Oryctolagus cuniculus: one gene and its partners. The protein of the gene in region 5 purifies or fractionates together with the protein of the main gene of each other region. This does not show direct contact. Links are inferred from orthologs where the notes say so. Each region holds a gene or a part of one and is shown on either strand. Other genes may lie near its edges. The genes, in order: AP1M1, AP1B1, AP1G2, AP2B1 and AP1S2.

The links.
Region 1: the proteins of AP1S2 (region 5) and AP1M1 fractionate together in Homo sapiens (co-fractionation; 6 studies listed by BioGRID and IntAct, counting the BioPlex papers as one, with this or other methods). This does not show direct contact. The link is inferred for Oryctolagus cuniculus from reciprocal best matches to the Homo sapiens genes AP1S2 and AP1M1.
Region 2: the proteins of AP1S2 (region 5) and AP1B1 purify together in Homo sapiens (affinity purification with mass spectrometry; 5 studies listed by BioGRID and IntAct, counting the BioPlex papers as one, with this or other methods). This does not show direct contact. The link is inferred for Oryctolagus cuniculus from reciprocal best matches to the Homo sapiens genes AP1S2 and AP1B1.
Region 3: the proteins of AP1S2 (region 5) and AP1G2 purify together in Homo sapiens (affinity purification with mass spectrometry; 3 studies listed by BioGRID and IntAct, counting the BioPlex papers as one, with this or other methods). This does not show direct contact. The link is inferred for Oryctolagus cuniculus from reciprocal best matches to the Homo sapiens genes AP1S2 and AP1G2.
Region 4: the proteins of AP1S2 (region 5) and AP2B1 purify together in Homo sapiens (affinity purification with mass spectrometry; 3 studies listed by BioGRID and IntAct, counting the BioPlex papers as one, with this or other methods). This does not show direct contact. The link is inferred for Oryctolagus cuniculus from reciprocal best matches to the Homo sapiens genes AP1S2 and AP2B1.

The regions. Positions count from the first base shown.
Region 1 is NC_091447.1:64,728,565-64,732,738, forward strand, and holds the start of AP1M1 (AP-1 complex subunit mu-1), read left to right. Parts: upstream 1-1,373; 5' UTR 1,374-1,503; coding exon 1,504-1,545; intron 1,546-4,174. UniProt on the Homo sapiens protein: Subunit of clathrin-associated adaptor protein complex 1 that plays a role in protein sorting in the trans-Golgi network (TGN) and endosomes.
Region 2 is NC_091452.1:22,748,433-22,751,943, reverse strand, and holds part of AP1B1 (AP-1 complex subunit beta-1), read left to right. Parts: intron 1-526; coding exon 527-672; intron 673-1,026; exon of another isoform or gene 1,027-1,123; intron 1,124-2,136; coding exon 2,137-2,266; intron 2,267-2,349; coding exon 2,350-2,434; intron 2,435-3,020; coding exon 3,021-3,107; intron 3,108-3,208; coding exon 3,209-3,363; intron 3,364-3,511. UniProt on the Homo sapiens protein: Subunit of clathrin-associated adaptor protein complex 1 that plays a role in protein sorting in the late-Golgi/trans-Golgi network (TGN) and/or endosomes.
Region 3 is NC_091443.1:51,513,825-51,516,940, forward strand, and holds part of AP1G2 (AP-1 complex subunit gamma-like 2), read left to right. Parts: intron 1-151; coding exon 152-207; intron 208-347; coding exon 348-461; intron 462-601; coding exon 602-742; intron 743-817; coding exon 818-872; intron 873-955; coding exon 956-1,078; intron 1,079-1,662; coding exon 1,663-1,752; intron 1,753-1,835; coding exon 1,836-1,963; intron 1,964-2,160; coding exon 2,161-2,265; intron 2,266-2,547; coding exon 2,548-2,674; intron 2,675-2,756; coding exon 2,757-2,892; intron 2,893-3,116.
Region 4 is NC_091448.1:39,031,367-39,035,413, forward strand, and holds the start of AP2B1 (AP-2 complex subunit beta), read right to left. Parts: upstream 2,809-4,047; 5' UTR 2,638-2,808; exon of another isoform or gene 2,399-2,637; intron 2,392-2,398; exon of another isoform or gene 2,073-2,391; intron 1-2,072. UniProt on the Homo sapiens protein: Component of the adaptor protein complex 2 (AP-2). Adaptor protein complexes function in protein transport via transport vesicles in different membrane traffic pathways.
Region 5 is NC_091453.1:1,997,424-2,001,671, reverse strand, and holds the start of AP1S2 (AP-1 complex subunit sigma-2), read left to right. Parts: upstream 1-1,440; 5' UTR 1,441-1,756; intron 1,757-1,906; exon of another isoform or gene 1,907-2,024; intron 2,025-3,856; coding exon 3,857-4,035; intron 4,036-4,248. UniProt on the Homo sapiens protein: Subunit of clathrin-associated adaptor protein complex 1 that plays a role in protein sorting in the late-Golgi/trans-Golgi network (TGN) and/or endosomes.

The DNA of each region.
Region 1 (4,174 bases), on a different chromosome or scaffold from region 5:
AATTGCCACAGACACCTGAAACAGAAGTAGCACTTCCGGTGAGCTGGTTCAGGAGCAGCACTTCCGGTGAACAGCAGAAACCACTTCGGTGAGCTGCAGCAGTAGCATCACTTCCGGTGAGCCCGGAGCACCCGCAGCACTCTTCTTCCAGGCGCCTCTAATGGGTGTCCAGTGCCAAGGCAGACATTGCTAATCGATCGCGACGTTCCTCACCGTGGAAACCTTGGAGCACTGGTCCCTGAGTGGGCACGCGTGTGCTGTGATGCGGCGGCCGCGATGTTGGGAAAAACAGTGTCCGGGGGCCGCGCCGGGGCGGGGGCTGTCTGTGTAAAAGCCGCAGAATAAAGCAAAAGCGTCACTGAAGAGGAGTCTGGGCGTCTGATTGCCTGAGCCATAGCGGCCGGAGATGACTCCTGCCCTCTGTGCCGCGGGCTGGGTGCCCAGCGGGGAGCGCCTGACAGGCACCCAGCCCACCTGCTCATCCGGCGGGCCGGAGCGAAACCAGGGTCTCAGGGGAACGGCGGGAGGGCGCGGACCCAGCAGGAAGCAGTGTCCCGGGTAGCACTGGGATGCACCTGGCGCAGCAGGTAAAGCCTCCGCCCGCAGTGCTGGCATCACACAGGGGCGCCGGTTCGAGTCCCGGCTGCTCCATTTCTGATCCAGCTCTCTGCTGTGGCCTGGGAAAGCAGTACAAGACGGCCCAGGTCCTTGGACCCCTGCACCTGCGTGGGAAACCCGGATGGAGCTCCTGGCTTCGATTTGGCTCTGCTCCGGCCGTTGCGGCCATCTGGGGAGTGAACCAGCAGATGGAAGACCTCCCCCCACCCCCGTAACTCTGTCTTTAAAATAAATAAAATTTTTTCTAAAAACATTTCAGCTGAAGAATGCAGACACGCCGTTGGTTATGACCCGACCAGGGCCGCTAAAAATGTAGCAGGAAAGCACACGTGCCCAGCAGTGGCTTGCGGTTTTTCACGAGGGCATTCCGAGCAGTAAACCGCGGGCTGGCGCGGTGACCCACGTGGACACTGACAGGTGGCCGGAGGAGGCGGGAGGCCAGAGCTTGACCTCTGCACAGAGAAGCACCGCCTTCGCCCTGCCCTAGGACGCGTCACCCCTGGTGGCTGTGTGTAGGCTACGCTCCCCGGCCAGGCCGAGCTCCACGGGTCTGGACCCGCCCGGCTTCACCAGAGCGCCGCGGCCGGCCGGAGTCGCCCCGATTCCGCCGGCCCCGCCCCCCGCGCCCCACTTCCGGCCGCTCGAGGAGCGCAGCGAGAAATACGGTCTTCCCGGGCGTACTGCGCCTGCGCCTAGCCCTCCCGCACCTGCGCAGACCTGGCCGCCCCGCCCCCCTCGCCCTCAGCCCGGACATAACGGTCCGCGCGCGGCGCTCCGGGCCGGAAGTGGAGGGGAACCGTCGCCGGGCGCGCCCGGCCTCGCCCCACGCCCGGCCGTGCCCGCCGCCGCCGCCCTCGGTTGCCGCCGAGGCCTCCCGCAGCCGCCATGTCCGCCAGCGCTGTGTACGTGCTGGACCTGAAGGGCAAGGTACTGAGCGCTCCCCACCCAGCCTCCCCGCTGCCGAGTAACCGGCGGGGGCCTCGCCCTGTTAGGTAAACGACCCGTGGACCCCACCCAGCGGTAGGCGAGGCGGCCGGGCGGCCCCACCCGAGGGTCCCCCACCCAGCAGGGCGGGGGTCTCCAGTCCGCGAGGCCCGCCCTGCTGCCAGGTGGCGAGGTGGGCTGCCGCCTCCGCCGTTGCCAGGTAACGGGCGACGCCGCCCCTCCCCTGCACCCCACCCACCCCCACCGCCGCGTGCCCGCTGGCGATTCGGGCCGGGGTCTCGGGCCTCCGCGGCGGGGAGGGCGGGCCGCAGCCGGCCCCCGGCGTGGGAGGGGTGGGTGGACGGCGCGACCCTTGGCCGGAGGTGGCCAGGCGTGGCGGGGGGTGGTGGACAGCGTGCGCTCGCGGCCGGTCCCGCCTTCTCCCGGGCGCCGCCACCCCGTGGGAACCGCTGACGTCATCGTGACACTGAGTGAGGTTAGGGTTAAGGTGGCGTGGGCGGTGGACAGAGTGGGGAAACCGAGGCACGGAGTGGGCCCGGCGTTTGCAGGGGGCCCAGCAGCCGGGAGGGGCAGGTGTCCTGTGTCCTGGGTTCGGTGCCCGCCTCCGTCCACGCAGAGCCTGGGAGGCCCGGGTCGCTGGGGCCCCGCCACGCGCCTGGCGGGCCCGGGTCCGGTGCTCTGTTTGCAGCTGCAGCCGCCGCCAGGCGCCCTTCCTCTGGGCATCTGGGGGAGCCAACCAGCCGATCGCTGTGTTTGTCTCTTTCTGTGCCTTGCAGACAAAACCAGAAAAAGTTTATTTGGGTGCAAAAAAAATGTTTTTAATCGGTGCATAGGTTTTTTTTTTTTTTTCTCATAAACTTTTCCCTCGTGCGCATAGATTTCGGGGGGAAAATTGCCTCCAATTTTTTTTAACTTATTTGTTTCAAAGGCAGAGTTACAGAAAGAGAGGGAGAGAGAGAGAGGTCTTCCATCCGCTGGTTCACTCCCCAGTTGGCCTCATCGGCTGGAGCTGTGCCGATCTAGAGCCAGGAGCCAGGAGCTACTTCCGGGTCTCCCACGCAGGTGCAGGGGCCCAAGCACTTGGCCCATCTTCCACTGCTTTCCCAGGCCAGAGCAGAGAGCTGGATGGGAAGAGGAGCAGCTGGGACTAGAACCGGCCCTCATATGGGATGGCAGTGCTGCAGGCGGCGGTTTTACCCGCTCTGCCACTGCGCCGGCCCCAGCCCTGATTCCATTGCCCGTGACCTCTGAGAAGCCCCCTCATCAGGGCGGCAGGGGCTTCCCTGGGGGAGGGGCCAGGTGTGGCCGAGACCCAGGCATGTTTCCCAGGGGCCTGTGAGAGCAGCGCTGGCCAGGCCACCTCCCCACATGGGAGCCAGAACTGGGAGAGGCGCGGGTGCCGCCTGAGCCCGGGAGCAGGTGAGCGCGGCCGCCCCTTCCTGCTCCACCCGGCGCCCTCCCCAAGTCCCTGGCCCTCTGCTTGCTTTGGAAGCCACCCAAGAGCTGCAGCTCACGAGGCCGCCTGCAGGGCTTCTGAGCCCGGCCAGACCCGGGAAGCGGGAAAGACGACTTCCCCGAAGCTGCCCGGCTCCTTCCGCCAACGTGTCGGAGCCTCTCGCGCGACCCCAGCCTGTGGCCAGGTACAGGGTGGCCACGGGCCAGGCACAGGGTGGCCACAGTGCTGCCGCTGGCCGCGGCTGTGCACAGTGCCCGGGGAAGCTCAGGCCCCATGGGGGCTCAGCTCTGCCACCCTGTGCAGGGGAGCACTGGGGAGGAGGCGCTTCCCTCTCTGGGCCTCGCCTTTCCCTCCCCAGAGGCTTTGACAGGGCTGGCGTGGTGAGGTCAGGAGATACCGGCCCCACAGGCCCGGGACAAGGTCCTGGCAGTGCAGCTGGGGAAGGGGGAGGCGGGTGCCCCAGTGGGCTGAACGAGGTGACCAGGCGGCAGGTGGAAAGGAGGCGTCCGGTGGGCCGCAGGGCGGGACGCACACACACACACACACACACACACACACCCCCGCCAGCCCTCCGCAGCCGGGACGCCCCATATCAGAGGTTTCGAAAGTCTGCCTCCTGCACTGAAGTGTTTGCTCAGAAGTAAGGCAACAGCGCCTTGAGCAATCCGTGCCAGCCGCGGGCGCCCCGTGGGTGGGCAGAAGCTCTCCCCGGGCACCTGTCCACCTGCGGCCCAGAGCCCCTTCCCGCCTCTTCTGCTCTCGCCCGTTGACTGTTGGGTTCCGAGGGGGTGGGGCCCAGTCGTGTCTCCCCACAGTGCCCCTCTTCCCAGGCCCACATCCAGACAGCTTATCTGGAGAGCCACTGGCCTCCAGGGTGCTGAGTGGTCCCTGCCATGCCCAGACTTGCTGTCCCTTCTGTGTCCACGCTGGAGCCCCGGTGTTACTCTGGCCTTCTCCTCCCCACCCACATGGCCGCTGCACAGATGTTTCCTGGGCACCCGCCGCGGGCCAGGCTGTGTCCTGGGTGCTGGGGCACAGCTGTGAGAGACCCCAGAGCAGCCGCTGTTCTCAGGGAACCTCAGACAAATGAGGACACAGATGTGTGTATAGCCTGGCAGAGGGGACAGGCAGGGAGGACTTCCTGGAGGAGGTGCC
Region 2 (3,511 bases), on a different chromosome or scaffold from region 5:
AGACAGGCTTCCCAGAGGAGGAGGCCCTTGAGACTCGAGTGACAAGGGCAGCCAAGCAGCAGAGGGCCTGCCACACGAGGGCTCCTCCTAGGTACTGTCCTTGCTCTGACCAGTTTCTGCGATTCTGGGCCAGCCCTGCCCCCTGCACAGTACAGGCTGTGACAGCTGGGGTGCCGCCGGGCACTTCGCTCTGTCCTTGGCTTGTGCGGAGACTGGCAGGGCACACTGTCTGGTCGTCTCCTCAGCCCACTTCCCCCATATCCTTTTCTGACCATTTTCCTCTCTGACCTCGACTCTCAGAGCAGCCCTTGAGCACGCCCAGCACCTTTGCAGCGCGAGCTGCTCAGTGCGAGGCCACGGGCTCATTCTCCTCCCCTGAGGTCAGTGGTCAACCCCTAGGAAGCAAAGCAGGGTGCTCAGTCTGGGAGGCCCCTCCAGGAGAGAAAGAAAAGGGACCCTGGGGTGGGCCCTTGTGTCTGGGCCAGGACCTGGCACATGCCAGCCACCCCCCTCCCCCTTCTTGCAGGTCTGGCTCCCGGCCATGAAGGCTAAGGGGCTGGAGATCTCGGGCACCTTCACACGCCAGGTGGGCGCCATCTCCATGGACCTGCAGCTCACCAACAAGGCCCTACAGGTCATGACCGACTTTGCAATCCAGTTCAACCGCAACAGGTAAGCTCCCGAGGCCAGCCACCTGCAGGCAGGGGCTGAGGGCCCCGGGGAGCTGGAGCGGGTGGCATTGCTCACCACCCTACAGGCCGGAACTCTCTTCCCTCCATGGCCACTTTCGTGGACTCTGCAGTCCCAGAAAGAGTGGGGAGAGTGTTTCCCCAGTGGCAGCCCAGGAGCTGGCCCTTGGCAAACACCCCACCTGTCAGGAGGGTCTGTCCCCCAGTGAGCCTGCCCCTGCAGGCAGGGCCTCAGGGGTGAGCCCTGCTCCAGGCCGTCAGCCCTGCCAGGTCCCCGCACAGCGAGTGACAGGAAGGCTACCTGTCTGTACCACCGTGGGTCAGGCCAGGGCTCTGGAGACCAAGCAGCCCCTCCTGATGATCCCTCTTCCTGAGCGGCTCCAGTGATGAGCAAACTGAGCCTCTAAGAAGTTGACTGAAGGGGCTGCTTCCTCGGGGAGCCGTGGCCAGGGACACCCCCACCCTCCGGCAGACAGGGAGGCTGGGGCAGCTCCTCCCCTTCCGCTCAACAGACCCTGTCGGCCACAGACATGCTCCAGGCTGGTCACTCAGAAAAACCTGCTGGCTGGAACACTGTGCCCAGGGCTCTGGGGGTATTGTCTCACTTGAAGCAGGTGACAGCCCGTCAAGTCAGGGCCATTACCTCTGGGCTCAGGGCAGGTAGGTTGCCCCAGGTCACGCAGCAGGCAGTGGCGGAGCTCCCAGGAAAGCCTGTAGTGCGGGGCCACTGCGCGGGCCTGGGTCGCCCGCTGCTTCTCCCGCTGTGTCCCAGGCAGGCAGCTCGAGCTCTGACTCAGCACTGTCACTCACCTGTAGAGCAGACGTGGACCTGGCCCTCCTTGAGGTACACCATCTTCACCTGGAAGATGAGGCGATGTGTGCCTGTCTCTGTTTCCTGAGCTTGGGAATTGGTATCAAGTCAAATGCCAGCCTGGGCGGATGGAGCCCCCAGTCCATGCTGTGTCTGACAAGGATCTGAGTCTCCCCATTTGCTTATGTGCTGCCGTAGAGAAGCAGGGCTTTCCTGAAACTGGCCATCATGTGACCTGGCCAGTGCTGCCCTAGACAGTAAATCCCAGTGCCCGATGGGGTTCACATCCTTCCTAGGGAGTGGGTGTGGGCAGCAGAGACTTGGGCAGCCACAGAGCTTTGCCACAGGCTGTTGGTAGGAGGAAGAGCTTGTGGAGGGAGGACAGGCAGGGCCTTGCTTGTCTGAGGCTGCCCAGTGCCCCCCAGGCCAGCGTCGGCCAGCGCTGGGCTGGGCTGGGCAGAGCCTGCAGCCTGGGGCCCTTTCCTCCTGTGCCACAGCCACTGAGGGGCCTGGGAGCTCGTGAGCCTGTCCTGCCCCAGGACTGCAGCTCGGCTGAGGCAGCTTGGGGAGGAGCCCACCTGTGCCCGGTCAGCACCTGCTGCCCAGCTGTGCCTGCGGGGGCTTCTCTCTCCCTAGCTTTGGCCTGGCCCCCGCCGCCCCCCTCCAGGTCCACGCACCACTGAGCCCCAACCAGACTGTGGAGATCTCGCTGCCTCTTAACACGGTGGGCTCGGTCATGAAGATGGAGCCCCTGAACAACCTCCAGGTGGGTCCCCCCCCCGCCGTGGCAAAGGGGCATGGGTGCCGGGAGGGACGTCCTGCCTGGGGCTGACGGGCGCCTCTGCCTAGGTGGCCGTGAAGAACAACATAGACGTCTTCTACTTCAGCACCTTGTACCCTCTGCACATCCTCTTTGTGGAGGACGGGAAAATGGGTGAGTCGTGAAGGCCCCAAGCAGGGGCCAGGGCTTAGGAACCTGGCCCAGCTGGCGCTTGCCCAAGGCCTGGATGGTTTCGCCTGCCCCTTGACTGGGTCCTTGCGAAGCCTGTCCCAAGGGGCATGCCTGGCCAGCAGGTGGGCTGTGCCACACAGGGTCATCTCACTTGCAGGCTCTCCTGCCTGCTCTCAGCCTTGTCCCAGGGGTGGCAGGGACCCCAGGTCATGTCCCGTGACTGGCACTCACTGCTTTTGTACCCAGAGGCCTTAGCCATGCCCTGGGCTGCCGGGATTGTCTCTCACTTGACCCAGGAGGAAGCCCCATGAGGCAGGTGTGACTGACAGGCTGCCCTGCCCGGGCAGGAGGCCGGCATGTGGTGGGGTGGAGGTGGGCGGCAGGAAGCCCAGGGTCCCTCGGGAGCAGCTCTCGGGCCTCCTCACAGAACTGAGGGTGTGCTCGGCTTGGGGCTGTGCGGGCGCTGGTGCCCGTCCTGAATTTCAGGCGGCACACTGGACACAGGCCCATGGCCTGTTCCAGGTGGTTGAGGGGCCACGGGTTTATGAGGGTCCCCCTCACCTTCCAGACCGGCAGATGTTCCTGGCCACATGGAAAGATATCCCCAATGAGAACGAAGCCCAGTTCCAGATCAGAGACTGCCCCCTCAATGCGGGTGAGAACCCCCCAGCCCGACCTTGAGCCCTGGCTGGGCCTTGGCTGGCCCTGGGCCACTGCCCTCTGACTGGGTCCTCTCGGGTCCTCCCGACCTCACAGAGGCCGTGAGCAGCAGGCTGCAGAGCAGCAACGTCTTCACCATCGCCAAGCGGAACGTGGAGGCCCAGGACATGCTCTACCAGTCCCTGAGGCTGACCAATGGCATCTGGGTGCTGGCCGAGCTGCGCATACAGCCCGGCAACCCCAACCTCACGGTGAGCGCCCCGTGCCTACCAGGCGCCCCAGCCGGGGGCGGCTCTGATGGGGATGCTGCGCCAGGGGTCCCCCTGAGCCTGCCGCGAGCAGGAAGGCACCTTTCTAGGGAGCTTCCAGCTCAGCCCTGCCAGGTCACCCACAAAAGCC
Region 3 (3,116 bases), on a different chromosome or scaffold from region 5:
GGCCTGTCCCACTGTGGCCCGCCTACTGCCCCCCGGCCAGGCACTCGGGTCCTGTTCACTGGTCTCTCCTTCCTACCCCGTCATCCTGTGCCCCGGGGTCCCTGCCCCTGAATGAGCGGGTTGCTCCTCCCCTGACCGCCGCCTCCCTTAGGTCCTAGCTGTCAACATTCTTGGCCGCTTCCTGCTCAACAGTGACAAGAACATTAGGTAACAGACCCAGGTGTCTGGCTGGGCTGTGCCACCGTGTCCTCCAGAGCCCCCTCATCCACCTCCCTCTCACCGGGGCTGCGGGCTGATGGCCATGGCATGATAGAGCCTCCCCGCCCCCCACCCCCCACCCCGAGCAGGTATGTGGCCCTGACATCGCTGCTGCGGCTGGTGCAGTCCGACCACGGGGCCGTGCAGCGGCACCGGCCCACGGTGGTGGAGTGTCTGCAGGAAACCGACGCCTCCCTCAGCCGGTGAGCGGAGAGCAAGGGTTCACCAGGGCAGCAGGGGAGAGGGCCCAGAGCAACTCAGAGCACCTGCAGCAAGGGCATTACAGGGACAGCTGCCTGGAGCAGGGGAGGGTCCGCTTAGGCACTTGTCTTTTTCCCTCCAGGCGGGCCCTGGAGCTGAGCTTGGCCCTGGTGAATAGCTCAAATGTGCGAGCCATGATTCGGGAGCTGCAGGCCTTCCTGGAGTACTGCCCGCCTGACCTCCGGGCTGACTGTGCCTCGGGCATCCTGCTGGCTGCGGAAAGGTGAGGCGACAAGTGCAGGGAAGCAGAGCGGGGCGAGTCTCGGCAGGGTCAGCCCTGATGAGCCATGTCCCCCAGGTTCGCTCCAAGCAAACGGTGGCACATAGACACCATCCTGCACGTGCTGACAACGGTGAGGTGGGGGCTGGCCAGGGAGCGGGGAGGAGTGGGCAGAGCTGAGCATAGTGACCTGGCTGTGTCCTCCCACCCCTCCAGGTAGGCACCCATGTGCGGGATGACGCAGTGGCCAACCTGATCCAGCTGATTGGGGGGGCCCGGGAGTTACACGCCTACTCAGTGTGCCGCCTCTACAGTGCCCTGGCAAATGATATCTCCCAGGTACCGATCCCATCTTCCCAGGCCCAGGGCTGCCCACCTGCTTCCTCCATCCCAATCCATGTCGCAGCTACTTGGTGCAGGAGACACCCAAGGCCAGGGCTGTTTTTTAGTGAGAACACTGGGCTTCTGTCCTGGCCTTGCTACCTACTGGCTGTGTAACCACAGATGACTAATGGGACTTTATTTAAGTTCCTTCTACCCTGCCTGTCCCCCATAGCTGCCGTGAGCATCAGATCAGATCAAAGCTCATTCTGCACGTCTTCGATGTTGCTATTCCCTTGAATGCTGAGTGATTAACCGATGCCAGCCAGCATCTGTAGTGTCCTTTTTCACCTTAAGCCCGGTGGGCCGAAACCACTACCCCTTCCTCTGGGGACCCTCTGCCACCATAGTGCGTTTAGGCCATGTAGTTATAATGCTTGGCCACCAGAGGGCAGTGGGCGCCTGGACACCAGGACAGAGCCAGCTATCAAAGTCACCTCTTCCCACCCTGCCAAGCTCCACTATCTCTGCACTACCTAGGGAGGCTGCAGAGTGTGGGACTGACCCAGACACTGACCTGTGGTGTTTCTCATCCCACACAGCAACCGCTGGTGCAGGTGGCAGCCTGGTGCATTGGGGAATTTGGGGACCTCTTATTAGAGGGAAACTGCGAGGAAACTGAACCCCTTCAGGTGAGACCTGCGTGGGGGTTCACTGGAGAGGGACAGGGTGGGCAGGGCTGGGCCCAGGCTCACTACCTCATCCACGCCCGAAGGTGGAAGAAGAGGAGGTGTTGGCACTGTTGGAAAAGGTGCTGCAGTCCCATCTGTCCCTGCCAGCCACCAGAGCCTACGCCCTCACGGCCCTCATGAAGCTCAGCACCCGGTTCCGCGGGGACAACAAGTGAGGAGGGGGCCGAGCCCTTGAGACTCCCTTCGCTGAGCACCCCTGCAGACACAGGCCCCACTGTTCCCCTGTCCCTAGGGCCAGCTATCCCAGGGGTCTCCTTACTCTGTGCAGCCTCTCCCGGCCCTGCCAGAGCGTGGAGCACAGGGCAGGGCTCACTGCCACTGCCACTCACGTGCCGCACTGTGGCGCAGCCGCATCCGCCAGGTGGTGTCCATCTACGGGAGCTGCGTGGACGTGGAGCTGCAGCAGCGGGCTGTGGAGTATAACACGCTCTTCCGGAAGTACGACCACATGAGGTGTGCCTGGCAGCCCGCTGCAGTGCGGTCTTACTCGGTCCAAGGGTCTCATCCTCGCCTGTGGCCTTCCCCATCCACGTGGGAGCCCCCCCGAGGCTCTCCGATGCTGTGCTGGCTTCCAGCCCTCCGGGCTCACGTGAAACCCAGCAACAGCGCGCTGTCTCAGGAACTCACAAAGGCCCCTCTGACCCGCCCTGTGCCACGGTGCCCTGTGCCACGGCCCCCACCCCCAGATGCTTCCTGTTCCACCCAGAGAGACCCACCCACCCTCCCACCTCTCAGGGCTGCCATTCTTGAAAGGATGCCTCTGGTGGAGCGAGGCGGCACTCGGGTTGAAGAGGAAGAAAAGGAAAGCAACAAGGCTGCCCAGCTTTCGGAAGCCGCGGCCCCTGTCCCCGCAGAGCCCCAGGTGAGGGAGGCAGAAACCCTGGGATGAGGCGGCCTGGGTGGAGCCTCCACACCCAGCCCTGAGCCTTCCGTCCTTGGCCCAGGCCTCCAAGCTCTTGGATCTGCTGCACCTCCTGGACGGCTCTTCTGGGGAGGCCCCATGCCCGCCTCCTCAGGATCCCCCCCCTGGAGGCACCTTAGTACACCTCCTCGACCTTCCCTGTGCACCTGCACCCCCAGGTGAGCTGCAGCAGAGGGAAGACGCCTCAGAGAAGGCTGCTCCTGGTCCTGAGCCAGGGACCGAGGCTCGTCACCCTTCCCACGCCTGGGTCCCCCAGCCCCTTCCCAGCAGGGGGAGGGGTCACTCTATCACGCCTCTCTTTTGTCTTTTTACCTTGGCCTGTGGGCCCCGCCCATCTCATGCCACAACCCCCATCACTACTCCACTGGCCCTCACTCCTCAA
Region 4 (4,047 bases), on a different chromosome or scaffold from region 5:
GAGACTCAGATGAAGCTCCTGGCTCCTGGCTTCAGCCTGGCCCAGCCCTGGCTGTTGTGTCCATTTGAGGAGTGAACAAGCAGATCGAAGATCTCACTCTCTGTCTCTCTCCTTCTCCCTCTGTAATTCTGACTTTAAAATAAATTAATTAATTTTAAAAAAGAAATAAAAATGAAAACAGTCTCAACAAAAACAAATGGGAAGAGGTGGTCGTTGCACCATTCTGTGAATGTACCAAAAGTGCCACTGTTCACTATAAAATGATTAATTTTATGTTATGCAAATTTCACCTTAAAAAAGTTGTGTTTTAGATGAGATATAGTTAATCATTTGATAAATATGGACATAGCCAAGATTCTCTAAAATTCAGGATGGTGAAAACTGAAGTCTGTATAGGAGGTCACAGAAAAGTAGACAAGATGGAGTTCAAGAAACAAAAACAAACAAGCAAGTATTTGCTGATGTGCCTTAAAAAGTCAAATTCCTGCCACAAAAACAAAACTATTTCTCTGGAGAGCTCCAGAAATAAGCAAAGCCATGATGGAATTTAAGCCCACATCATCTTTCTACCAGATTAAATCAGACAAGTCACTGGACATTCTGAAGACTTAGGGTCGGCCCAGGGCCACTGTTGAACAACAAAGCTCCAGGGTCAGAGCGCATAATCACTCTCACTTGGCCCAGTCCAGAGAGGGATGTCCCTGCATTTCGGGAGGGCCTCCCGCACAGGATGATGTATCTAGATTTAACACAGCCTAGTTTCTGCCAGATACAGGTTGTGAAAGTCCCTCTTCTATTCCTCCCTCCTCCCCTCAGTTCCCCAAAAGGCAAAGACTGACGTAAGATTAATAGCTTGGGTAAAATAAGGGCAGAAAAAAATTAATAGGATCTTAATTTTAAACGGCTCTCTGGGAAATGGTGGCCAAATTAGAGCTGATGAACTCACTAAGCCCTTCTTTTCACATAAATTTGAGATTCACACATTTAAGGTTCAAAGTGAAAAACTGGCCCAAATTAACAGAATTATAAAGCAGAAAGGTCATTCCAATAATCTTTTTTTTAATAAAAATAACGGGAGAGGTGCTGTTTCCATTTCTAATTAAATATTCAACAACAGTGAAAAGACAACAGTATCTTTAAATATCATTTGGCTCATAAGAAATTATCAAACCCTGAAAAGCCAAAATCACCTGTGATTTCTATTTAAATACAAGAAACTGCAAAGTTAATACAGTAATACACAGAAAGAAAGCTCAAAGTTTGACCTCCAATTCTTAACTGAAATATCATAAGCCCGGAAAATGTAAGCCTGGGAGGAAGGGAAGAAGGAATGGAGAACCTGTCCTTGGTTCAAACCCGCACCTGAGACATACTACTTCACAATATGGGCCTTAAAGGGGAAGACAAACAAGGATGAGAGACCTGAACGTCCCGGACTCAAAGAGAACGAGTGAGCTTTACATCCATTTTGCCACTCAACGTGGGCAAGGCTGTTGGCAGAACACAGGCGCCTGTCTGCTCCCCTGGGGACTTCCAACTGCTAAGCTACCTGCGAAGGCTTCTCACCTCCCCACCAGGCTTAGTCATCCTTACAACGTGTTACCTGCACCTCCTTCACCTGCTGCCTTCTATTATTACTGTGTGAGTGCACCCCGAGGCTACGCTGCGGACCTACACCGGGCGGGAACTAACCGTTCCTCATTAAGACCACCTTCCTTCTTAGTCATTCTGCCTTTCCGAGCGTATTTCTTTACTTTTGCTTTTAAACCACAATACTATGTGGTAACGGAGTTTGACAGTTAAAAAAAAAAAGGCGTATTTTCTGAAAGGTCAAAGTTTTACGAAACATCCACACTTCATAATGAAGCGGCCGAGCGAGCACAGGAACAGCCTGGCCTCCCCTGCTATGAAAACAACCCAGCAGCTTAAAATCTTTGGATTCAGAGAGTATGAAAATAACAGGAAGTTCCAATTTCTGAACTTCTGCCTTCGTCTGCAGCCTTCCCCAAGCCAGACTGTTCCTGCTAAATCCAGAAAAGAAAAAAAAAAAAAAATCCGAGCAGAGAATGTACCGCTTCCCCTCTCACATCGGGCCGATTCCGGAGGTTTCCCTAAAAGTGTCAGGAATGGCTCTTCTGCTTCCAGGTGGGAGGCCTCCATTACGAGATAAGGGAGAGGTGTCCCCAGCCTCAAGTTACGGAGACGCGCGAGGTGTGTCCATTAACGGGCAAAGCTTCGGGGGAATCCCTCTTGCCTTTCGCTCGCTGGACACGTCCCAGCCTCTCAATGCACGTCGGCGAAGGGGGAAGAAGGAAGGTTCTCCCCTCGGCCTCCGGCCACACCCCTGGCCTCTGGCCCGTGCGAACCCCGACTTGGAAACAGACCTCCCCCCACGCACCTCGAGCTGCCACCCCCGAGGATTCCCTCAGCCCACCACAGCCACCGCGGCGGAGACCTCTCCTCCAAGCCTTTTCCTCACAACGGTCACACCCGACGGCTGCCTCCACCCTCAACGGTCACGCTCCTAAGATTTCCTCGCCTCCGCTCGCCTTCGACTCAGCCTGTGGATCTCCTCCCTCTCCCCCACCCCAATCAATTAAGGAACACACACCCCAGAGTCAGCTGCCTTGAACTCACCGGAGGCAAGGGCGGGGGTGGCGGGAGCAGCCAGAGAGCACAGCCCGGGTGGTGTTGTAATGGTTTCCTGCCCGTCACGATTCTTTCTCTAGGTCTAAGCCACTGCGCAAAACCCACTTTGCCAGCGACAAAGATGGTGGGCCGGAAACCCTGACGTCAGAGAACCTCGCCGCGTGACGTAGTCGGAGTGCGCGGGAGAACCAGAAAGGCGGCGACCCGTTACCTTGGAGACGAAAAAGCGTCCTGCCCTCCCCTCCCCCACCCAGCCTTGGTTCAGGCAAGGCTTGGAGACCTGGGCCTCAGAGGATGGTTAATGGCTATTCCAAGGGATATATTAAACAAGCTGAAATTCGCTGGAATTGTTTCCTCGCAAGGAATTGAAGTATCCTGTTCCCTTCTATTAAAAAAAAATTAAAACATCGGCTAATTTCCCTGGCAGGCGGTCCAGCAGAAAACAACAGTGATCCAGCCCAGAACTCATAGGCAGTGATGCGAGGAAAAGAGGTTGAGGCGGCATCATGTGAGTTCGTGAGTTCAATTCCCTGCCCCGGTGCGACTGGGAAAGTAGTTTAATAACCTTAGTCTTCTTGTCTTGTGAAGCTTAAATGAGATAAAGAAGCACTATGCTGAGAATGTAGTAGACCTACTAACACAAAAGTAAGGCGCTTTCGGGAACTACGCCCTAGATTCTAAGATCTAAAACTGGAGGAAAAAGTTGACGAGGGCGCAGGAAACTGTCAGCGAACCAGGCTCTCCCTAAGGTTTATGTGAGGGTGTGAGGGAGAAGAGAGAGGGTTGGGGTTTTTTCTTCCAAATTTTTGCCCATCAATTCTGGGAGTATCAAAATAAAATATTTTGAAGTTTCATTCTGCAGGAAGTAATTTGAAGTATATAAAGACTTCATATAACACTTATGTATTATTATGCTGTTATTAACATAGGAGAAGTTGGAAATTAAACATTTGTGATAAATTAGAGAACTGTATAATGTTGTCGAAGAATATTTTATAATGCAAGAAAATCTTGATAAAACGGTTAAGCTTAAAAAGTACACAAAACAATACCTGCGACATGACTGCATATGCAAAAAGGCTGGAAAAATAGGGGCTGGCACTATGGCGCAGCAGATTAAAACCCCAGGCTGCAGTGCTGGCATCCCATATGGGCGTCAGCTAAAGTCCTGGCTGCTCCACTTCCCATCCAACTCCCTGCTAGCGTACCTGGGAAGGCAGCAGAGGATGACCCCTGCACCCACGTGGGAGACCAGGAAGAAGCTCCGGGCTCCTGGCTTCGGATTGGTTCAGCTCTGGCCATTGTGGCCATTTGGGGAATGAACCAGAGATGGAAGACCTCTGTCTTTCAAATAAATAAATTTCCTTAAAAAAAAAAAAAAAAAGGAGGGGCTAGAAA
Region 5 (4,248 bases):
GCAGGGAGAAATTTGGGCAGGGGGCCTAAAGAACTATAGAAAGCTAGCTCTGTGGTTTTTGTCGACCCCTTTGTAATATTCCAGTATACATTAATCATACATGTCACCAGGGAACTTTCCAAGTGGCACAGTAATGCAGAAATGGAGAAGCATTACATTTTTTATTTTGCCAAACAAGGGCATTTTCAAATGCCTCCAAACCGCTATTTAGTATCTTAGTTTCATGTTTATTGTAATAACCCTCTCTTCCCTTGCACAGATAACATGATCTCTAATAAAGGGTTCCTTCAAGTTGACTGAATTTACTTTCATGGAAAAAATTTGCGATTTTTACTTTGGGCCATTAAAAAAAATCTGACAACTACGTTTTACAAACCTCTGCAAAAAGGGCATGGCCCAACAAAAGCAATTTTCTAGCTTCCTTTGTAGGAACCCAGTTGACTGGAGTAATGAATAGCATTCGACATGGGAAACCCGTGGCTGTTCAAGCAAGGTCACCTAATCCCGTGGGGCTCCCCTTTCCTTATCTATAAAAGATGAGTTGGACTAGATGATTCATTCATTCCATCATTCAAACACCAAGTATGAACACTGATTACGTGCCCAGCAGTGTGCTCAGCATCACGGCCCTTAACAAATCTATCATTCATTTCAGTCTTTACCAGCCAACTTGTGTTACACACCAAGCAGTGAACTAAGTTGGAATGCAAAATGAATAAATCCAAGACGTGCTAAATACAGACTAATGGACATGTTGGTGAAAAACGTATTCGTTCTTACAGGGTTTTAGGGTGACGCTTCATACTTGTGACATTTGAGAGGAAGGGCATGTCAGGCAGAGCAAGTCGTTGGCCAGGCTAAACCCAGGCGGCTGGTGGGAGCGATCCCGTGTGAAGCAAGCGGGATCTCGAAGACGAAGTGGTGTCTGGGCTTTTCAGCTGAGGACATAACTCATCCAGTCCGCAGCCCTGAAGATGGGCGAGGCAAGCCCAGGGTGCGAAGCTTGTGGTAAAAAGTGTCTGGGCTAGGGCTGTAGCACTGCGATGGGAAGGAGAGGCCGTCTACCTAGCAAAAGGCCCTGTGAACGCATGCAAGGGCTCCGCGAAAGAGCTGCCTTGCTTTCCCCAGAGTTGCAGCACTCCCTTTCTCCTCCCACCATCATCACCGGCCGTCACACCTCCCTATCCCACCCTCTTGGGACACGGAGAGTCATCGGAGCTCGAACTTGGCTCTTCGCGTTCAGAACCTTCTCTGCCTCGAACCACAGGGTCGCCTAAGGTCGCCGCGGAACCACGTCCTCCCGTCACCAAAAGAGCCAAGGCAGCCACCCGCTCGCGTCCCGAAGGCACGAGCCTGAGTACGCAGGCGCGCTGGCTGCTGCCGAGGCCGCTTCCGGGTCACGTGGCCCAACTTCCGGTTCGCACCACTCCTCTCGGTGACGACGCGGCCAATCGGTTTCGTCGGACTACGCGGTCGCCTGCGCCGCCTCCGGGTGCCGTTGGCTGCCGTTGGGCCGCTTCCCGCGCGTCGTCCAGCCCGCCTCTCCGCTAGCCGCAGCCCCAGCTCCTCCCTCGTCCGGCCCCTGGGGCGGAGTCTGTTGGCTCGCCCTCCCCTCGCCGCCTAAGCCTGCTTTCCGACAACTGGGTCCCCTCCCCACAGCAACACGGCGTCTCCTACTCGCCGCGGCGACAGGGGTTTCCCCTCAGCCGCCGCCGCTGCCGGCCGAGCCCAGCCGCACCCGCGGCCCGCGGCTGCCGTAAGTCCCGAGGGCGAGTGGGGACGCTGGGGATGGGGATGGGGAGGGGGAGGGATGGCTGGGCGCGCCCCCCGCCGCCCCGCGCGCGCTCCGACGACCCCACCCCGAGCCCGCCGGCCCGCCACCTGGGCGCCGCGCCCCACAACTCACTTCTTTCCACGTCGGCCCCCCGCAAACCACTGCGCGGCGCCTGGGAATGCGGGGTCTAGTCCGGGGCTCCGCCGGGGCGCCGCGGCACCTGTGGTTCGGGAATCGTCTCAAGTTTTGCGGGGCGTTTTAGGGAGGGGCTGGCGGCCGGGGACGGCGGCGGCCGAGAACTCTTGGCGCCCCCCTGCGCGGCGGCGGATGCCATTGTCTGCTCCGCTCCTTGCCTGTCACCTCGCTCAGGCTTGGTCAGTGATGGAGTGTAGCCCCGGAAGGGGGGGAGGCATCGGAGACGGCGGGACCCAAGGAAAGCTGGTCCCGAGCTCGCTCCGAGGCTGAGCCCATTGTTTTTAAATGCCCGTTTCCCAGAATTGTGGTACCCTGTGATTTGCGGCACAATCAAAGCATTCGTGTTTAATAAGACAGGATACTTGTGCCTTGCAACCGGATTTCGTCCCATGTTAGTACATAATTTATTTTGAGAGAATACGTTGTGTTTTCTTCTTGTAAAGTGGTAGGGCAGATACAGGACCCTGCTCCCGACAGCCTTGAACCCAGACTCTTTTTGGCAAGCAAACCCCCGCCCCTCCTGGCCACCGAGATCAAGGAATACGAGGTTCATTCTCTTCCAAGTTCTGGTAACGGGTTTGCTTTAAATGTCCAGTTGATGCTTCGCTTGCTGCCCCCTTTTCGAATGCCGCTGATTTTGCAACTTACATGGAGGCACTTTGATATCCCTGAGTAATGTCCGTGTATTTTGTGCCACTGAAGCATGTTACGAGCGGTAATAAGCCTTAAGTTTAATAAAGTTAAAATTGTCATGTCGTAAATTGCCAAGTATCTGGTTGATGTCTTTTTGCATTATTTTAATTTCATATCAAATAATTTCATATAGAAATTTAGGGCTCATTTTATTCTATATTGATTGTATAAATTCTCTCTCCCCATGTTCAAGATGGTGTGAGTTTTAAGAATCAGGCTTGAATCTTCTTTGCCATGCTTAAAAGAAAACAGAATACGTATCTGAATTCTATCTTTACATTATCTTGTAGAAATAATACTGTTTGCAGTTGATGACCAGTTGACTTACCATAAGCTTGCCTTTAACAGAACATTCAGACTAATCAACAGATTTGCAGGTTCCAAATAAATACACACAAATTAGGTTAGGTGTTAAAAACACTAGAATTCAGTATCCAATCCATCTGTAGATGCTGTTTTTTATTGTTTTAAATGTAATATTTCATATAATGCCCCTGAATATATCTAATTATTATTTTGACATTTTAAAGATTTGATTTTCATAATATTACATTAACCTGACTCTTAATTATGTGCATATTTATGTTTTTAAAAATGAGATGAAAACAGATACTTTAAGATCAGGATCTTATTAAGAAAAACATGTATTTGTGAGATCCTCTTTTTTGGTGAATATTTTAGCTCATTCTGTTTTTTTTAAAATATGCTAGCATAAATGGAAGAGAGCATTCAAAGTCTACAAGTAATTCACCCTGGGACTAGAAAAGCCTTGGGCTGAAAAATAGTAGATTGCCTGTTTCTTTCAAATGTACCTAAACCAATTGATATCTACAGTTCTCTTTTGATGCATATAGGGAGTGTGGACTGTATGAGCACAGGTAGAAAATAGTTTCTAAATTACAAGGGACAGCTTTTTGTTCAAAAATTTCACTGCAATATACCTGTTTTTTCTTTTTTTTCCCACCCATTCCTCTCCAAACTTATGTGGAACAGAGTGAGATGGGAAGGGAAGGGTTGTATCTAGCAGAAAGATCTTTCTAAAAGAATTTCCTGCTATTTCAAGTGACATAAAAATAATGATAGCTGCTAATTGTCAGTTTAATGCCCTGCTCTCACAGGTTCCTCTGAAAAACATGTATTAACCGTATTGAGTCAAAGTACCGCATGTGATCTTTACTTTACTTGTCTTAACAGATGCAGTTTATGCTGCTTTTTAGTCGTCAGGGGAAGCTTCGACTGCAGAAATGGTATGTCCCACTGTCAGACAAAGAGAAGAAAAAGATCACAAGAGAACTTGTTCAGACTGTTTTAGCACGGAAACCTAAAATGTGCAGCTTTCTTGAGTGGCGAGATCTGAAGATTGTTTACAAAAGGTATAGTTTTTATTTATCAGAAAGGTGTAATAAAAGAGTCAATTGTTAGGTCATTTGTAACATGGAGATGTCAGACTTTTGTTGATCACATTTAGAAATAATGATTAATAAAGATTTAGGAGAAAAATATTTAGAGTAAAGCAGTAAAGCTTTGTATTTTTAAAATAACTGCTGTTTTGATTGATTATCCAGGCTAAAATGATAAAAGGGAAA